Linked DNA regions of Tribolium castaneum. Each later gene encodes a partner of the first gene's protein in a complex. Links are inferred from orthologs where the notes say so. Each region holds a gene or a part of one and is shown in the gene's direction. Other genes may lie near its edges. The genes, in order: eIF3h, eIF3m and eIF3g1.

What was found.
Region 2: eIF3h (region 1) and eIF3m share a complex: the UniProt entries of both Caenorhabditis elegans proteins name them as parts of the eukaryotic translation initiation factor 3 (eIF-3) complex. The link is inferred for Tribolium castaneum from reciprocal best matches to the Caenorhabditis elegans genes eif-3.H and cif-1.
Region 3: eIF3h (region 1) and eIF3g1 share a complex: the UniProt entries of both Caenorhabditis elegans proteins name them as parts of the eukaryotic translation initiation factor 3 (eIF-3) complex. The link is inferred for Tribolium castaneum from reciprocal best matches to the Caenorhabditis elegans genes eif-3.H and eif-3.G.

What each region holds. Positions count from the first base shown.
Region 1 is NC_087398.1:6,460,938-6,464,244, reverse strand, and holds eIF3h (eukaryotic translation initiation factor 3 subunit H), read left to right. Parts: upstream 1-1,482; 5' UTR 1,483-1,632; coding exon 1,633-1,710; intron 1,711-1,806; coding exon 1,807-2,745; 3' UTR 2,746-2,788; downstream 2,789-3,307. Other genes in the region: vkg (collagen alpha-2(IV) chain), read left to right, coding at 1-45; SelT (thioredoxin reductase-like selenoprotein T homolog CG3887), read right to left, coding at 639-962, 1,009-1,138, 1,185-1,339. UniProt on the Caenorhabditis elegans protein: Component of the eukaryotic translation initiation factor 3 (eIF-3) complex, which is involved in protein synthesis of a specialized repertoire of mRNAs and, together with other initiation factors, stimulates binding of mRNA and methionyl-tRNAi to the 40S ribosome.
Region 2 is NC_087400.1:753,699-757,058, reverse strand, and holds eIF3m (eukaryotic translation initiation factor 3 subunit M), read left to right. Parts: upstream 1-1,334; 5' UTR 1,335-1,464; coding exon 1,465-1,509; intron 1,510-1,566; coding exon 1,567-1,746; intron 1,747-1,791; coding exon 1,792-2,721; 3' UTR 2,722-2,764; downstream 2,765-3,360. Other genes in the region: Sec15 (exocyst complex component 6), read left to right, coding at 1-148, 199-390, 434-671, 716-857, 905-1,091, 1,137-1,263; CysRS (cysteine--tRNA ligase, cytoplasmic), read left to right, coding at 3,097-3,360. UniProt on the Caenorhabditis elegans protein: Component of the eukaryotic translation initiation factor 3 (eIF-3) complex, which is involved in protein synthesis of a specialized repertoire of mRNAs and, together with other initiation factors, stimulates binding of mRNA and methionyl-tRNAi to the 40S ribosome.
Region 3 is NC_087395.1:17,787,965-17,790,794, forward strand, and holds eIF3g1 (eukaryotic translation initiation factor 3 subunit G), read left to right. Parts: upstream 1-1,189; 5' UTR 1,190-1,306; coding exon 1,307-2,152; 3' UTR 2,153-2,201; downstream 2,202-2,830. UniProt on the Caenorhabditis elegans protein: RNA-binding component of the eukaryotic translation initiation factor 3 (eIF-3) complex, which is involved in protein synthesis of a specialized repertoire of mRNAs and, together with other initiation factors, stimulates binding of mRNA and methionyl-tRNAi to the 40S ribosome.

The sequences.
Region 1 (3,307 bases):
TTGAGGCAGAGATTGAGACACAGGAGACCGCAAAATACGCCGTGATCGACGTGCCATAACAGTTATTAACTTTGTAATTATGTGTAAATTAATTGTAACATAGATTTGATGTTAACATTTGTCCTTGAGAAGGAACGTACGCCGTGTTCAAACACAAATCCTATTAGAATATTTTTTACTTGTAAGGATTTAGGTTCTTAATTTTATTTAAGCGATTACGACAGTGGCTCTTTGTATAGAATTTATTTTTTTAATACTTGAATTCTTGCTTGTTTTTGATCTTTTTTATCTCAAAGGTGCTAATTAGTTTTAAGGCTTACGACAGGAAAATGTGATTCATATTTTATGTGCCTTTCTATTAAACACTGCCAAATGATTTTGTAATGTAACAAATGAATAAATCATAAAAACGATGAGTTTTTGGGTTTTATTAGGTATCAAATAAGAAGACAATTTCTTTATGTACAACTTTTACTTATCACAAATCTAGTTATTTATAAATCATACATTCAAACATACTGAACGCTGTGTGATAGTGACCAGACAAAAAATTATAGAATGACACTACCAGACTCACAACAAATTTAAAAAAGAACAATCTGATAACAAAACAATCATTTTCGAAATTTATAGTAACTTTACTTCGGGAATCCGTTGCTCAGTTCAATTTTGCTGTCAGTGAACTGCATATGATTATCGATGATTTGGAAAAGCTCTGCAGGTTGTGGTATCCTGCCCGTCTCCAGTTTGGACCAAACAGGAACGTCATTCAGTGAGATTTCAAAAGCCCCCGATTGAATCAACTGTCCTTCGATAATATTACACACAAAGAACAGCATCATGCAAGCATAAAGCTTGTTTTCTGTGCACCAAATCCACCATGAAGGCTGTGGTTGGTTAATGTATTCAAATATGTTAATAGCCCCCAAAATACACACGATTATCACCATTTTAACGATGCCCTGAAAACGCATAATCATCAACTTTCACTCATTATATCATACTTACAATAAGTCTGGCCAAATACATGTTCAAGCCTGGGGGGTCGTAATTTTGGCCATCAACGGCTATAAAAGGGTATTTGTCCCCAACGATTTTTACGTACTGCTCGAACGTTTTCCGGTAACCACACGAATAACTAAATTAAATAATTAGATTATGATATTGGGGCTAGGGGAACATACCAATACAAAAATTTTAAGGTTGGGGCCCCAACATTTTGACTTAGCTTCGACGGGAGGACGTCTTCAGCTGCTACGTTACCGTTTGATTCGAGAAAACACAGCCCCGCAAACACCACTAAATACCAAAAACATGATATTTGTCTTAAACCAGCCATTTATTTTGCTTTCTAATGCTCTCGTCAGCTGATAAATTTCCAATGACAGGTGGGACTGGTGGAAACGTAGGGGAATTTAGACACCGACTAGATCAGCCTAAAACACTAATATAATAATTATTTCACGTCCAAAAAACACGAGATTGTGTTAGCTGCTACAAAATTTGGTAACAAACAACGTAATCGTTAAATAAGGCCATTATCGGCTGGCAATTTTTACGAAAATTGTGTTTTTGTAGCAATTGTGGAGTTTTTGTTTGCGCTACATTGGCAGGTATTTTTGGCAGTTTAAAATGGCGTCTCGTGGGGCTGCTTCGAGGCGTGTGCCTGAAAATGACTCGACGATTGCTTACGTGCAAGCCGACGGCTTGGTAAATATCCCTTCAGTTTATTTAAACCCAAAAGTCACACTTTGGCTACCTCAGTTAGTAATTAATACCTAACATACGGAACCTAACCTCTTTCAGGCCGTCATGAAGATCGTAAAACACTGCCATGAGGAATCGACCACTAACATGGACATAGCCCAGGGGGCCCTTCTCGGCCTTGTCGTTGAAAACCGGCTGGAAATCACGAATTGTTTCCCATTCCCGAAACAAACCGACGAGACAATGGACGAGGACGAGTACCAGCTAGCGATGATGCGGCGCCTGCGACGCGTCAACGTCGACCACTTCCATGTGGGGTGGTACCAAAGCGCCGACGTCGGGAACTTCCTCAGCCTCCCTCTTCTCGAATCGCAATTCCACTACCAAACCTCAATCGAGGAATCCGTCGTTGTGATTTACGACACTCAAAAATCCTCGCGCGGGTTCCTCACACTTAAAGCCTACCGTTTGACGCCTCAAGCCATTGAGATGTACAAGGAGGGCGAATTCACGCCCGAGGCCCTCTTGAAGCTCAAAGTCGGATACGAGAACCTCTTCATCGAGGTCCCCTTCGTTATTAAAAACTCCGCCTTGACCAACATCATGATGTCCGAATTGCAAGAACTTGTCCCGGAAGAAGAAGGCTCGAAATTTTTAGATTTGGGAACCGCCTCCGTCCTCGAGGGGCAATTGCGCTGCCTCATGGACCGAGTTGACGAACTCAACCAAGAAGCGATCAAGTTTAATAGATACCAACAGTTGGTCAGCCGGCAACAGCAAGACAAACACAGATATTTGCAAAAGAGGGCGCAGGAAAATGCGGCTAGGGCCGCGAAAGACGAGCCCCCATTGCCCGAAGAGGACATTAATAAGCTGTTTAGGCCACATCCGGTGCCCCCGAGGCTGAACCCGATGATTATCGCGGGACAGATTAATACGTATAGTCAGGCCATTTCCCAGTTGTGCTCGCAGAGTTTGGCTAAGTTGTATATTACGCAAGCGTTGCAGAACGCCAAGGAGGCGAATTCTAATCCTTGAACTGTTTTGTTACGTTGTTTTACAATAAAATAATATACAATGAGTTTGGGTTTTATTTAAACCAGGCGTAATAAAGCTTAATTGGCGCAGTCAGTAGGTTTTGTGGTGGCGTCTCTTCTGTGAAATTTCTACGTTTGAACGTTTAATCATCCCCTTAAAAAATGGTACTAAACCAACAGTGGAGAAAGTCATATTCGCAACCTTTTCATCGTTTATGTTGATTTTGTTGTTTTTTGATTGAAATAAAGGACACAGCTTTTAAAAAATAATGTATTCAATTGCCCTAAACATCAATTTAGTCATTACAGTCTTACGAACCTAAAGAAATGAATTTTATTTATTTACATTTCTATTGCACAAACTGGCCAAAATGTACACACTTTTTTGTGCAACTTTCTCAAACTCATACAAACCAATAACAAACAACACACGAAAAACAACAACAAAACAAGACTAGATAATCAATCACAATAAATCGTTTCGTATTACGCTATTAGCAGTTCAATCAATAAGAAAAATCGTGTCATGAGTATAAAAATGTTGATTAATTCATTTGAAAAAA
Region 2 (3,360 bases), on another chromosome or scaffold:
TGTCGTCGTTTCCATGGGACGAGGACTTGCCCAACGATGTGGTTTTCCCGCACAAGTTCCCCTTTTCGGGGATGGTGCCCAAGGTCTACCAACAAGTCAAGGAGTTTATTTACGCGTGTTTGAAATTCTCCGAGGATTTGAATTTAAGGTTTGGTTGTTGAATAATTCCAATCGAAGTGGGCTGTGACTGAATTGTAGTCAAGTGGAAGTCGACGAAATGATCCGCAAGTCGATGAATTTGCTCCTGACGCGGACGTTTAGCGGTTGTTTGTCGTCAACGTTTCGTAGCCCGCACATCAATCTTCAGGAAATTATCCAAATAATCATCGATACGGGCTATTTGGAGGAAGCCACGGTCTACTTGGACCAGTTTATTTCAAATATTACAGGGTAGGGCACAAAATTAATCCGCCAATAAAAACAAAACATTTAGGGAGGAGTCTCGAGGGGTGTCCACGGGAGTGGTCCAAGGCCAACCAGCCATGTTCCGCGTGGCTCGTGAAGACGCCGTGCGCCAAATTTGCGAAAAATTGCGCCAAAAATTGAACGAGTTTTACGAATTGGAGAGTTATGATTGGCTGTTGGGTGAGCCGTCAGGACACGCCTCTAGTTACATCTCCGATTTGATTGCTTTCCTCCAGACGACGTTTCAGAGTTTCACCAATTTACCGGTTTGTTGATTGGTTTTGTTGATTTTTTATCGAGTGATTTGTAGCCGGAGGTGGCGCAAGTTGCGTGTAAGTCGGCGTGTGAACACATTGCCAATTCGATGTTTCAACTGTTGATGAATGACGAGATCAAGCAAATTTCCATGGGGGCCTTAAACCAAATCAATTTAGATTTACTACAGTGTGAACGTAATTAATCGAAAAATGATAACCGGAAATTTAAACAAGTTTTACAGAATTTGCGGCCTCTGAGCCCGTCAAAGGCCTACAAGAGGACGTCCTCTTGTCGTATTTTACCAAACTACGGGAGACTTTAGACCTGTTCACGTCATGGGACTGGCCCACTTATTTCCACGACTATGGGCAAGAAACCAGCAAATATAAGCAAGTCAATCCAGATGATGCGATAGTATTGCTCGAAAAGTAACAAATCGGGTTATTAAACCACAAGTTAATTGATTCTTGTAGATTGAAAGAAGGCGATAAGAAAACTATGTTCACAGTATTGAAAAAGAACGAAAGAGACAAGAAGAAGTTACTGGAAACGGTCCTAAAACAACTGAGACAGCTGACCCAAATAACGCCCAACAAATAACCGACTTGTTGAATTAAATAATAAATTTTATTAATTATTCGGTGTTTTAATTTTTGTGGCCAACTTGGCCACCAAATTTAAAAAAGTAACAACTTGGCGTTTGCGCATGCGCATTGCCAACATAACCATCAAATTTGCGGTGTGGTTTTTCCCCTTAAAACAGTTAAAAATTGCAAAAAACCGTGAACTAACTGTAGAAAAATGCAAGTGCCCCCTGTCTTTATCGACGTGAGTCCCGAGGACCAGGTAGGCGCCCATTTGTGGCATTTTGTGTCCATATGACACTTTGAGGTTATGTTTTAGGCGCAAGAGCTCCGCATTTACTTAAAAAGTTTAGGCGCTGAAATTTCGGAGGAAAAATCAGTCAAGGGCATCGAAGACGACCTACACAAAATAATCGGCGTATGCGAGGCCTGTTTCAAGGAGGGCCAGGAGCCCGAAGTTGAGATGGTGCTCAACGACATTGTCTCAATCATGGTGCTTGTAAGTGTCTCGAATCATTTGCGCGTGGTATTGGACGTGTTTTAGATCCCGGCCGACCGGTCCGAGAACATCATCCTGGCCTTTTGCCAGAAGCTGCTCAAGGCTCAGGGCCCCAAACTGGGGCTGGTGTGCCTGCGCGCCTTGTGGCTGCTGTTCCAGTCGCTTGACGAGACGTCCCCCATGCGCTACCACGTCTACTACCACTTGATTTTAATTGCGGAGAAAACGGACCAGGTCAAGTCGGTGTTCCAGGATATCGAGCATTTGAAGCAACAGTTCGCCCCGTGTCCACCGACAAGCGAGCAGTTGCAGATTCTGTACCGGTTGTTGCACCAGGTGCTGCTAAAGAGCAACCACAGTGAGCAGGCTGCCAAGGTCATGATCGAACTTTTGGGGACCTACACCGATAAGAACGCCTCGCATGCCCGCGAGGACGCGATCAAGTGCATCGTCTCGGCCCTGGGGGACCCCAACACCTTCCTCCTCGACCCCTTACTGGCCCTAAAGCCGGTCAAATTTCTCGAAGGGGAGCTAATCCACGACTTGCTTAATATCTTTGTCAGCGAAAATTTGGCAACGTATTTGAAATTCTACCAAGAACACAAGGAGTTTGTCACGTCGCAGGGGTTGAACCACGAGAAGAACATGCAAAAGATGCGGTTGTTGTCCTTCATGCAACTCGCTGAGACCAACCCGGAGATCAGTTTTGACGTGATTGAGAGAGAGTTGCAGATCAAGGCTGAGGAGGTCGAGGCGTTTATTATCGAAGTCTTGAAGACTAAACTGGTGAGGGCCCGCATGGACCAAGCCGCTCGGAAAGTCTACGTCTCAAGCACCATGCATAGGACTTTTGGGCGCGCCCAGTGGCAACAATTGAGGGATTTGCTCCACTCGTGGAAAAGCAACCTCAGCATGGTCCAGGAAGGGATGAAGAACGTCACAGCGGCACAGCTCGAAATGTTGAACCAACAATAATTGTTTTGTAGCGATTAATTTAAGAATAAAAATTTTGGAACTAGTTGGGGATTTTTATTTTAATACCACGTCAAGTAACTAACTAAATTTGCTGCTTAAACTACGAAAATTACATTATTGCGCCCCATAATTTAATGTGGGGGTTTCACCCGCCACGTGTCGCACGTTCCTTGCCCCCAATCGGGGTCAAGAGCCGCCGGTGCCGTTTCATGTTGGCAGCACTGTGTGGTGTTGTGGCCGCTGATTCCGATTTTGTGGGAATTCCGTGCCTTCTTCTGATGCAATCACAGTTTAATTTCCGCTAGATAACACCGAAGAGTGCGTTTTGGTGTTGGTGTGTTAAATAATTGCAAATTTGGTGGTTGGAGTTAGGTTATGTCGAAACGTGTGCAGCCCCCGTGGTCGGCGCCGGAGGCGTCTGGCGGTCCGGTCCTGAAAGTGTTCAATAGTCTGACGCGTCAGAAGGAGGTGTTTAGGCCGATTTCGGGCAAAAAAGTGACTTGGTACAGTTGCGGGCCGACTGTTTACGACGCCTCGCACATGGGGCACGCCAGATCGTACATAACTTTTGATATTTTGAGGCGCGTCCTTGCCGATTATTTCGGTTATGATATTTTTTTCGTGATGAATATTACGGAT
Region 3 (2,830 bases), on another chromosome or scaffold:
TTTGAAATTAGCTAAAATGCAAACATATGTTTTTTTAAATAGAACACCCTATATTTTTTTGCACTTTTATATAATTTATAATAATTTTCAAAGAGGACTAGATTTTTTTTTGATTTTTTTTTCAGTTTTAAAAATTATTTTCAGAATTAGATAAAGCAGTGACCGCATTTTAAAAAACTTTCTCGCCTACAGCCCGAGTAAAAGAATGTATCCTGGAAATCAGTTTAAAAAATGTGCTGTAGAACACTGTGGAATGTGACCAAAATTCGACTCTTTTTAGCTCCCTTTATTATAGTTTGGAACACATTTCTTTGGCAACCCATTGAATACATCCTTTGGATATTATGTTTGATAAAAAATAAGTTTCATCCAGTAAGCAGATCGGTCCAGGACGACCTTAGCTGGGATCCTCTATTAGCAAAATCAAATTTTTTAAAATCACGTTGCTCAATTTTTACATATTTCTCTGAATGGACGAAAATTTAATTAGATCTAATTTAGCATTCCCTTTATACATAATCGTATTTTTATTGGATTTCAGAGACATTTCAAGTTATTTTAACTCAATTTCTCTTTTTTATCTAAGGCGGCGCAGAATGTTTCTTCTCTAGAAGGCTGTGAAAGATTTTTTCTAAAGCAACAGAATCGTAGCCGTAGCCTTCTAGAAGGATACCTAAATTTTCACAAATGTCTCAATTGGCGACAATACATTTATAAATAATAAGCTGCATTTCTGCACATCATCAGAAGCAACATGAACCAAAATATCAACTATTTTAATGTAGGTATACTTACGGCGTTACACAGTTGCGACAGAAAGTTTCACAAGCAAAAAAACTTTATTATAGCCAATAAACGGATGCAAATTTAACACTCCCGACACAAATTTAACTAATTTAAGAATGCAAAACATTAACTATTGGCAAAAGAACGCAAAACACAAGTCACACATTTTCTGTGTACAAAATCTAGTAGTTGATGGTTTTCAAAGCCACCTTTCCGAATAAGTTTCCCAATTTTAAAATTTCATTACAGAATCCTGTAATTATGTGTTTGTGGGTTTGTAACACGACAGCCCCGTTTGTCGGGGTTTATTTATTAATCGGTTTATTAAATAAATTTTAAAATACATGGCTTTATTAAATATCAACAAAATTAAATTGTATTGCAAAAAACAAAAATAAATAATTTGCAACGAAATTCCCCAAAGGTTGGCGAGTCTGTTGTTTGACAGTTTGAGGTTAACTTTTGTGAACGTGATTGTCGCACCATATTTTCCAAAAAAACGTTTCAAAATTAGCTAAAAATGCCTGTTGCCGAAGAGGTCAAGTCCAGCTGGGCTGACGAGGTGGAGTTGGAGGGCGGGTCGCTCCCGCCCCCGACCGAGGTGTACGAAAACGGCTTCAAGATCGTGACCGAATACGCGTACAACGAAGACGACAAAAAAATGAAAATCGTGCGGACCTACAAGATCGAGAAGCGCGTCGTTTCAAAATCGATCGCTTTCCGCAAGACTTGGAAGAAATTCGGCGAGTGTGCCAACGACAAGCCTGGCCCGAACCCGGCCACCACGATCGTCGCCGAGGACGTGTACATGCAGTACATCACGAGCAAGGAGGAGGACAACAAGCAGGAAGACGACGCTTTGGAGAAGCTGAAGGCTCTGGGCGACAAGAACGTGGTCAAGTGCCGCACCTGCAGCGGGGACCACTGGACCTCCAAGTGCCCCTGGAAGGACACCATGCTGGCCGGGGGCAAAGTGCCCGACGACAAGAAGGGCCCGGCGGTTCCGTCAGGGTCGGATGCGGGCAAGGCCGGGGGGTCCAAGTACATTCCGCCGAGTTTGCGAGATGGGGCCGTCAGGAAGTCCGATAATCTCAATATGGCGCGCAGAGACGACGCCACGGCGATTCGAATCACCAATCTTAGTGAATCTACCACTGAGACTGATTTGGAGGATCTGGTGAAGCCGTTTGGCCCGATCCAGAAGTTGTATTTGGCGAAAGACAAACAAGCCGGTTATTGCAAAGGATTCGCTTATATTCATTTCAAGTTTAAGAACGACGCTGCTAAAGCCATTTCTATGCTTAATGGACACGGTTATGATCATCTTATACTCACGGTGGATTGGTCTAAGCCACACCCTAATTGAAATGTATTTTATAAGTTTTATTTGTATTGAATAAAAATGCTTTAGCTAATGTTGCGTTTTTTCAAACCTACAATACAACAAAATACGTAGACATTTCAGTTTTAAATAATTCGAACAGAGGTGAAGATTGGTACAGGTCTTAGGTACACTATTAAAATAAAATATAGAAAATTCTCAAGTGTTGAAACTATCAGCTCTTAGCATTTTTCGCGTAAACGGTAGGTAAACATTACGGTAACTTCTCGGAAAAATAAAAAATCCCAAGCAATTGAGTTTTTTTAACTCGAGAGGTTTGTAAAGGCATACAATACCTGATAGAACTTTGCTAAAGCTAGTTAATTGTTTTGTTTTTTTTGAAAAGGTAAAAAATCTTAGACAATAGTTTAAGAAGTCTGCAAAATATTAACTATTGCTGGCTAATTTAGCAAATAAATAAGGTTGGTTTTTGGTTATAAACTAACCAATAAAAATAAAATAAAAGGTTAATAAACTAACTAAAAGATTTATTAACCAATCAAAGAACCTTCTGGTTATTTAATATTAATAAGTAATAACTTGACTGGACAATAATTAAAATGCGAATATAGGATTTTCCTTTTATTTTTTTTTCGATTTTGCTTTTTAAACTTACGTTTATTTGTGTCAAAACAAATACTAAAGCAATTGTTTATATAGTAG